Linked DNA regions of Oryza sativa Japonica Group. The protein of the gene in region 1 interacts with the protein of each later gene in a pairwise test. Links are inferred from orthologs where the notes say so. Each region holds a gene or a part of one and is shown on either strand. Other genes may lie near its edges.

Evidence for each region.
Region 2: the proteins of B3 domain-containing protein VP1 (region 1) and bZIP transcription factor ABI5 homolog interact in a two-hybrid assay, tested with the Arabidopsis thaliana proteins (2 studies listed by BioGRID). The link is inferred for Oryza sativa Japonica Group from reciprocal best matches to the Arabidopsis thaliana genes ABI3 and ABI5.

The regions. Positions count from the first base shown.
Region 1 is NC_089035.1:40,358,700-40,362,711, reverse strand, and holds the start of B3 domain-containing protein VP1, read left to right. Parts: upstream 1-1,212; 5' UTR 1,213-1,322; coding exon 1,323-2,900; intron 2,901-3,095; coding exon 3,096-3,185; intron 3,186-3,402; coding exon of another isoform or gene 3,403-3,405; coding exon 3,406-3,503; intron 3,504-3,957; coding exon 3,958-4,004; intron 4,005-4,012. UniProt on the Arabidopsis thaliana protein: Participates in abscisic acid-regulated gene expression during seed development. Regulates the transcription of SGR1 and SGR2 that are involved in leaf and embryo degreening.
Region 2 is NC_089035.1:37,800,300-37,803,874, forward strand, and holds bZIP transcription factor ABI5 homolog, read left to right. Parts: upstream 1-1,212; 5' UTR 1,213-1,260; coding exon 1,261-2,232; intron 2,233-2,320; coding exon 2,321-2,392; intron 2,393-2,515; coding exon 2,516-2,545; intron 2,546-2,687; coding exon 2,688-2,780; 3' UTR 2,781-3,075; downstream 3,076-3,575. UniProt on the Arabidopsis thaliana protein: Participates in ABA-regulated gene expression during seed development and subsequent vegetative stage by acting as the major mediator of ABA repression of growth.

The DNA of each region.
Region 1 (4,012 bases):
TTTTGTTTGCATCCATGAATCAATATATCAATTGATTCCACGGATATTGAAAAGGACACGTAGTCGTAAATGTGTATTATAGATTTATTGGCTCATTTTAAAGTACAAACTTGCAAAAAAAAAATAAAATCCTTGGATGATGTCGCATGGGTTATTTGGGTGCTCCTCATCACTAAGGACACCAAAGAAAACATATTTTTTAATCTGATTTTGGGGGCCTGTCTGTCATTTTCAAATGCATTTGTTGCGAAGCAAACAAGCAAAGAGAAAGTGGAAATTTGCTCTTACCCCTGCAAAACATGTATCCTACCTAGCCGCATCCTCCGATCGAACAAGACAAAGCAAATGCTCCACCCACAGTTCCACACGCAACGGCCAGAACAAGATCACGTATGCCATGGCATTGCCATGCCTCTGCTTAGCGCTTACGCTTCCCGGCTGCTGGTGATCGATCGAGCTGGGCCGTTCGCTGCATGTGTTCACACGGGCCACCTCCACTGCAACCAATGGTAAAATCCCACGTCATCGTAACCAAGGTGCGACCCACACCTCCACGTCATCATCTCCAGCTCGTGTAGGTTTCGTACGTGCGCGTAGAAAAAACGCACCCCATATTCCTAATCCAGACAGCACACAGGTCTCCTCCCGAAGATGGCGTCCGTTCGATCACGCGGTGGTTCGGATCGGACGGCTCGGAAACACCGGACGCGTAGCCCCTTAGTCGGCGCGGACGCGACACGGACATCCTACGGCGCGCATAAATCGCTACGCGCACACGACCCTACCACTCTATGGTTTTCCTTTTGGGTCCCACATGTCATTGGACCACAGGCAAGAACGCTCCTCTCCCTCCCCCTCTGCCGCGGCGGTCAAAACCAGCACGCGCCGAAATCCCGTACTTCCCACTGACACGTAGGCCCCACTGTCATTGACCGTTACAACTCAGGAAAAAAAAGGGGAACCCCACCCACCAGAAACGCAGCCCCCAGCAATGATAAGTGGGCCCAGAGGAAATGTGGGGCCCACGGGTCAGTGGGACGTGGCCGTGCCGTGCGGGGGGCGAAAGGTACGGTCGCTGAGGAGAGGCTGGCGTGGGCGGTGGAGCGCTTCCCACAGCCCTCGGCGGCCGCCACGTGTGGGCCGCAGCCGCATCTCTTCTCTCTCTACTCTCCCACCCTCCACCTCCCGCTGCTTCTCCTGTTCGTCTCCTTTCTCAGTAACTGCACCCACCTCCACACCTACACGCACACAGACAAACAAAGCCAAACCCCCCGCCTCGCCTACATCTCGCGCTCTCCGCCCCCCGCCCGCCTCCACTCTGCATGGACGCCTCCGCCGGCTCGTCGGCGCCGCACTCGCACGGGAACCCGGGGAAGCAGGGTGGCGGCGGCGGCGGCGGCGGCGGACGGGGGAAGGCCCCGGCGGCGGAGATCAGGGGTGAGGCGGCGAGGGATGACGTCTTTTTCGCTGACGATACCTTCCCGTTGCTCCCGGACTTCCCGTGCCTTTCTTCCCCGTCAAGCTCAACCTTCTCGTCGTCGTCGTCGTCGAACTCGTCCAGCGCTTTCACCACCGCGGCGGGAGGGGGTTGCGGCGGTGAGCCGTCCGAGCCGGCCTCGGCGGCGGACGGGTTTGGTGAGCTCGCCGACATAGACCAGCTCCTCGACCTCGCGTCGCTGTCCGTCCCGTGGGAGGCCGAGCAGCCGCTGTTCCCGGACGACGTTGGCATGATGATAGAGGACGCCATGTCCGGGCAACCGCATCAGGCGGACGACTGTACCGGCGACGGCGATACGAAGGCGGTGATGGAGGCGGCCGGGGGAGGAGACGACGCCGGCGACGCATGCATGGAGGGGAGTGATGCGCCCGACGATCTGCCGGCGTTCTTCATGGAGTGGCTCACGAGCAACCGTGAGTACATCTCCGCCGACGACCTCCGCAGCATCCGCCTCCGCCGATCCACCATCGAGGCGGCGGCCGCGCGGCTCGGCGGCGGGCGCCAGGGCACCATGCAGCTGCTCAAGCTCATCCTCACCTGGGTGCAGAACCACCACCTCCAGAAGAAGCGCCCCCGCACGGCGATTGACGACGGCGCCGCGTCGTCGGACCCTCAGCTCCCCAGCCCCGGCGCAAACCCCGGCTACGAGTTCCCCTCCGGTGGCCAGGAGATGGGCTCCGCCGCCGCCACATCCTGGATGCCCTACCAGGCCTTCACGCCGCCAGCCGCGTACGGCGGCGACGCCATGTACCCAGGCGCCGCCGGCCCGTTCCCTTTCCAGCAGAGCTGCAGCAAGAGCAGCGTGGTCGTGAGCAGCCAGCCGTTCTCCCCGCCGACCGCGGCGGCGGCGGGCGACATGCATGCGTCGGGCGGAGGGAACATGGCCTGGCCGCAGCAATTCGCGCCGTTCCCCGTCTCCTCCACGAGCTCCTACACCATGCCGTCGGTCGTGCCACCGCCGTTCACCGCCGGATTCCCCGGGCAGTACTCCGGCGGCCACGCCATGTGCTCTCCACGCCTCGCCGGAGTCGAGCCGTCCTCGACAAAGGAGGCCCGGAAGAAGCGGATGGCGAGGCAGCGCCGCCTCTCCTGCCTGCAGCAGCAACGTAGCCAGCAGCTCAACCTGAGCCAGATCCACATCTCCGGCCATCCACAGGAGCCCTCCCCTCGCGCCGCGCACTCGGCGCCGGTCACCCCGTCGTCGGCCGGCTGCCGGAGCTGGGGCATCTGGCCGCCGGCGGCCCAGATCATCCAGAATCCCCTATCAAACAAGCCCAATCCTCCTCCCGCCACGTCGAAGCAGCCGAAACCCTCGCCGGAGAAACCGAAGCCGAAGCCGCAGGCGGCGGCGACGGCCGGAGCGGAGAGCCTTCAGCGCTCGACGGCTTCAGAGAAGCGGCAGGTGTGCATGCATGCAGACGATTGACATCAATCGCTATCCACCATAGCTAGGATCTCACGCGAGTGAGAACTCGATTCTCCTCCTCACACACACTCCACACACTCAAAACTCACTCACTCACATCGCTGTCCAGGGATAGAATCTCCAATATTTATCAACCTAGCTAATTAAACGGCATCGATTGGATTGCTGCAGGCGAAGACGGACAAGAACCTGCGGTTCCTGCTGCAGAAGGTGCTGAAGCAGAGCGACGTCGGGAGCCTCGGCCGCATCGTGCTCCCCAAAGTGAGACAGTCACCACCATCTCGAACACCTTCTCCTTCCAAATCCACTACCCCACTTGGCACAAATCCATTCCATGGAAGGATCCCACTTGCACACACTCACATACTTGATGTTTCTCCCCTAATCAAAGACGGAATTTGCCTGAACCTTCTCTTCACATTTCCGATCATGGTAGAACTAAAAAGTCTCCCCTTTCTTGATCTGTGGATGGTTTCAGAAGGAAGCAGAGGTTCACCTGCCGGAGCTGAAGACGAGGGATGGTGTCTCCATCCCCATGGAAGACATCGGGACGTCTCAGGTGTGGAACATGCGGTACCGGTGAGTAATCAACATTCGATCGAAGCATCAAGCATGATTTGGGATTGCTTATTAAGCTTGTTTAAGTCCACTTGCTTCTTTGTTAATTGGGAGGGGATAGAAACCTCTGAACCAGAAATAGTAAATGACTATGGGATGGTCCCTTTCCCAATTGGGCAAGTGGGTCATACGAACATATCATTGGAATCTGGGAGTCAAATAGGAGCATGCATTCATCGTGTTCTATGTTGATGCTCAAGTGCATACAACAAAAAAATAAAAGTGATCTTTTCCTGCTGTTTTCAGTACTAACATTATGCATATGATTTTTGCTGGTTCTGCTGAGCTCATGTTTTTGATTAATTAATTTAATTATTTCCATTGGCAATATTATATATGCACAAGTTATTCGAATACATGATGGCTTAGATTTTGATTCACTGACATTAATGGATATTGATTTTCATGAACACAGGTTTTGGCCCAACAACAAAAGCAGGATGTATCTTCTCGAAAACACAGGTGAATAG
Region 2 (3,575 bases), about 2.6 Mb from region 1:
GTGCTGGTGCCGCCCGTCATCTCCTATGGCTTGGTTCAACCAAAACTTCGTCCTTGCAGCCAAAGATGACGAAATCTCTATCTTCATCTTTAAAAGTAGTGCTCTGGTGTTATGCCACTCCGTACAACAAAATATAAAAATATCATTTTTTTTCTACAATGATGATTGTTAATTACTTCTGTTATAAATATTGTTTGAAAGACCAGCAATATTGTCAATATCCAACTTTCAAGCTAGCAAAATGTATGCATATATTTTTTTATGAATTACCTGGCAAACCTATCTCTAGTTGTGTCATATACCTATAGTCCCATAGTGTGACTTTTGGATGTACATCGTTAATCTTTAGAAAAATATAATGCGACATCTCAGTACTATTTCGGTTGGTCACAAGAAAATCATATTATTATATGTACTAGATTTTTCAATTATACAAAGAAAATAAGTAGTCAAAGTTGATTTTTGTAAATTGTGCCAATTTTAAAAAATGATACATTTTCATGACTGGAGGGAGTATACTTGCGACAGTTTAGCAATACCAAACAAGACCAACAATTCAATGCACTTGACCAAGTATTTGAACCCAATACACTTTGTATGAAGCAAGCACTTTAAACTAATACCCACTTCAGCTATTTCAGATGTCTAGTCAAATGGCCAGCAAACGTTAAATGATAGTGTAATTATATTTATATTAGTACCTCATCAGTGTCTTGAAGTCCAGAAAAAAAGAGGGTGAGTCCAAGGTATACCTCCATCCGAATGATGCTATGCCTGAAAACCTTCAACACCGTGTGAATTATGGTGAGAGTAATTTCGCCCTACGCAAATTATGCCAGTAACGTTCTCTATGCATTCAAGGCATCCATATATGTAGCATTCATGTGAGCAACACATTTTTTCCATATCATCTATGTTAAAATAAAGCAGTATGAAAGATTCATCAAGAAAATAAGGCATAAGCCAACTTCCAAACTTGGGAGTGCTTATCTGGTTATCTACCATCCATACGTAATCGCCTAGAACTTCAAGCCAAGCACATCATCAGTTGCACACTCTTTTAATAAAGTACATATGACAAACAACACACCTACCTTAAGTTTTTTGGATGCAGTCATGTTACACCTTTCAACCCTCTTCTATGTTCTAACAGCCAACTTCGTTTTTGCATCACAGGCTATAAAAAGGGGTGGCATCCATAGCTGAAGGGACACACCTAGAAAATTTAATAGAACTTTACAAATTGAGTGTTATAGTGAGATGGCATCGGAGATGAGCAAGAACGTGAAGGTCACCGATGATCAAGAGGTTACATCACAGGAGCGTGACCAAAGTGGTGGTACAAAAGTAGGTGGGGAGGAGGAAATTGCTCCACTGGCGCGGCAGTCGTCAATCCTCTCCCTCACCTTGGAAGAGCTACAAAACTCCTTGTGTGAGCCAGGACGCAACTTTGGTTCCATGAACATGGACGAGTTTGTGGCTAACATATGGAATGCTGAAGAATTCCAGGCTACCACCGGAGGTTGCAAGGGTGCCATGGAGGAAGCCAAGGTGGTAGACAGTGGAAGCGGAAGCGGTGATGCAGGAGGAAGCGGTTTATGTCGGCAGGGATCATTTTCCTTGCCGCTACCGCTGTGCCAGAAGACGGTGGAGGAGGTGTGGACTGAGATCAACCAAGCCCCTGCACACACCTCCGCTCCGGCCTCCGCGCTCCAGCCACATGCCGGGAGCGGTGGTGTTGCAGCTAACGACCGACAGGTAACACTAGGTGAGATGACACTTGAGGATTTCTTGGTAAAGGCCGGGGTGGTCCGAGGGTCCTTTACCGGGCAAGCGGCCATGGGATCTGGCATGGTCAACGGGCCGGTGAACCCCATGCAGCAGGGCCAAGGCGGTCCTATGATGTTCCCAGTAGGACCGGTAAACGCCATGTATCCGGTGATGGGTGATGGCATGGGGTACCCCGGTGGGTACAACGGGATGGCGATTGTGCCACCGCCACCTCCCGCCCAAGGTGCCATGGTTGTCGTGAGTCCTGGATCATCAGATGGGATGAGTGCCATGACACATGCTGATATGATGAATTGTATTGGGAATGGGATGATGATTGAGAATGGAACAAGAAAGCGTCCCCACAGAGAGGATGGCTGCGCCGAGAAGACGGTGGAGCGCCGCCAACGGCGCATGATCAAGAACCGTGAGTCAGCTGCACGGTCCCGTGCTAGAAAGCAGGTACACATGTTGCTCCGAACCTTTTAGTTTCTATGTATCGTTAAGACATTTTGCATGGAGATTGAAATTTTTATGAATAATGCTACAGGCTTATACGGTGGAGCTCGAAGCTGAACTGAACTATCTCAAGCAGGAGAACGCTCGTCTCAAAGAGGCAGAGGTATTAAAGCAAGAAACATTATCCACTCAGCTTTCATTGTCATTCCTAAACAGTCTCGTTCCTTCCTTTTCTGTAACATTGAACTGATAAATATACAATGTCTATATTATCTTCCTTTTACAGAAGACGGTTCTACTGACAAAGAAGCAAATGGTATTGTCCTCTCCCATGTGGCAATCCCCATTCCGCATAGTGCTCATCGTTTTGTGAAATTATTAAATACATATTTGTTATTCATTTATTTGTGTGTGTATATATGCTCATGGAAATATGTCGTGTTCCTGTGATTTTTCAGCTGGTTGAGAAAATGATGGAGCAGTCCAAGGAGAAGATGAATGCAAATAGGGGTGGCAGCCAGCTGCGCCGCAGCGGCAGCTGCATGTGGTGAAACGGGCATAGCGGTGACCGGCGAGTGGCACACTCATCCTGCTTCTGGTGTGGCACTAGCCTCTGAGGCTCTGAAGAGGATTTGCACATTAAGTCTTCTTTCAGACTAAGTGATGTGAAGGTATTATGGTAGTAGTTGATATACATATATGCTGTGATGCTTGTAAACCTGCCTGGACCCACATGTCTTGCCATCGTGTTCACCGGTCCTTGCTGCTTATATGGTTACATGTCGCTGTTTGTACAAAACAACGATGAATAAAATTATACAATAGTATACTAGTTTGTATCTGTAAGTTTGTTCTCATGTCATATGCGCTGGAAAAAGAAAAGCTACAGTATAGGCAAACCTTGGTAGTATCGATTACGGCCCAAATTTCTGGCCGAATAAACTGGAAACCGAAACAAGCTGATGATGATTTGGGCTTTGCGATGGCGAAAAGTTCGGCTTCTATGATCCGATGGAAAAGTTGACGCGAGGTTACACGGTTTGCTAGTTTGTGGGAATTCCCCGATCCTCGGTTAATCTCGCCGTGTTGCCGTCGCTTGAGCAGGAGCAGGGATGCAAGCGGGACAGGCAAGCGGGTTTTTTTCCCGCTTATCCCACTTCTAGTCTATCTTTTTTTTAAATTTTGTACTACTATAAAAAAAATAAACTAGCAAGCAGGTTTTTATGCAGGTAGCGGGATTACCTACTTACATCCCTAAGCACGAGGTTGCCAGCATCGGGCTTAGCGTCTCCACTCGTGTTCGTGTTGGTTCCTACCTCTCCAAGTCTCTACAAGTCTAATACTCT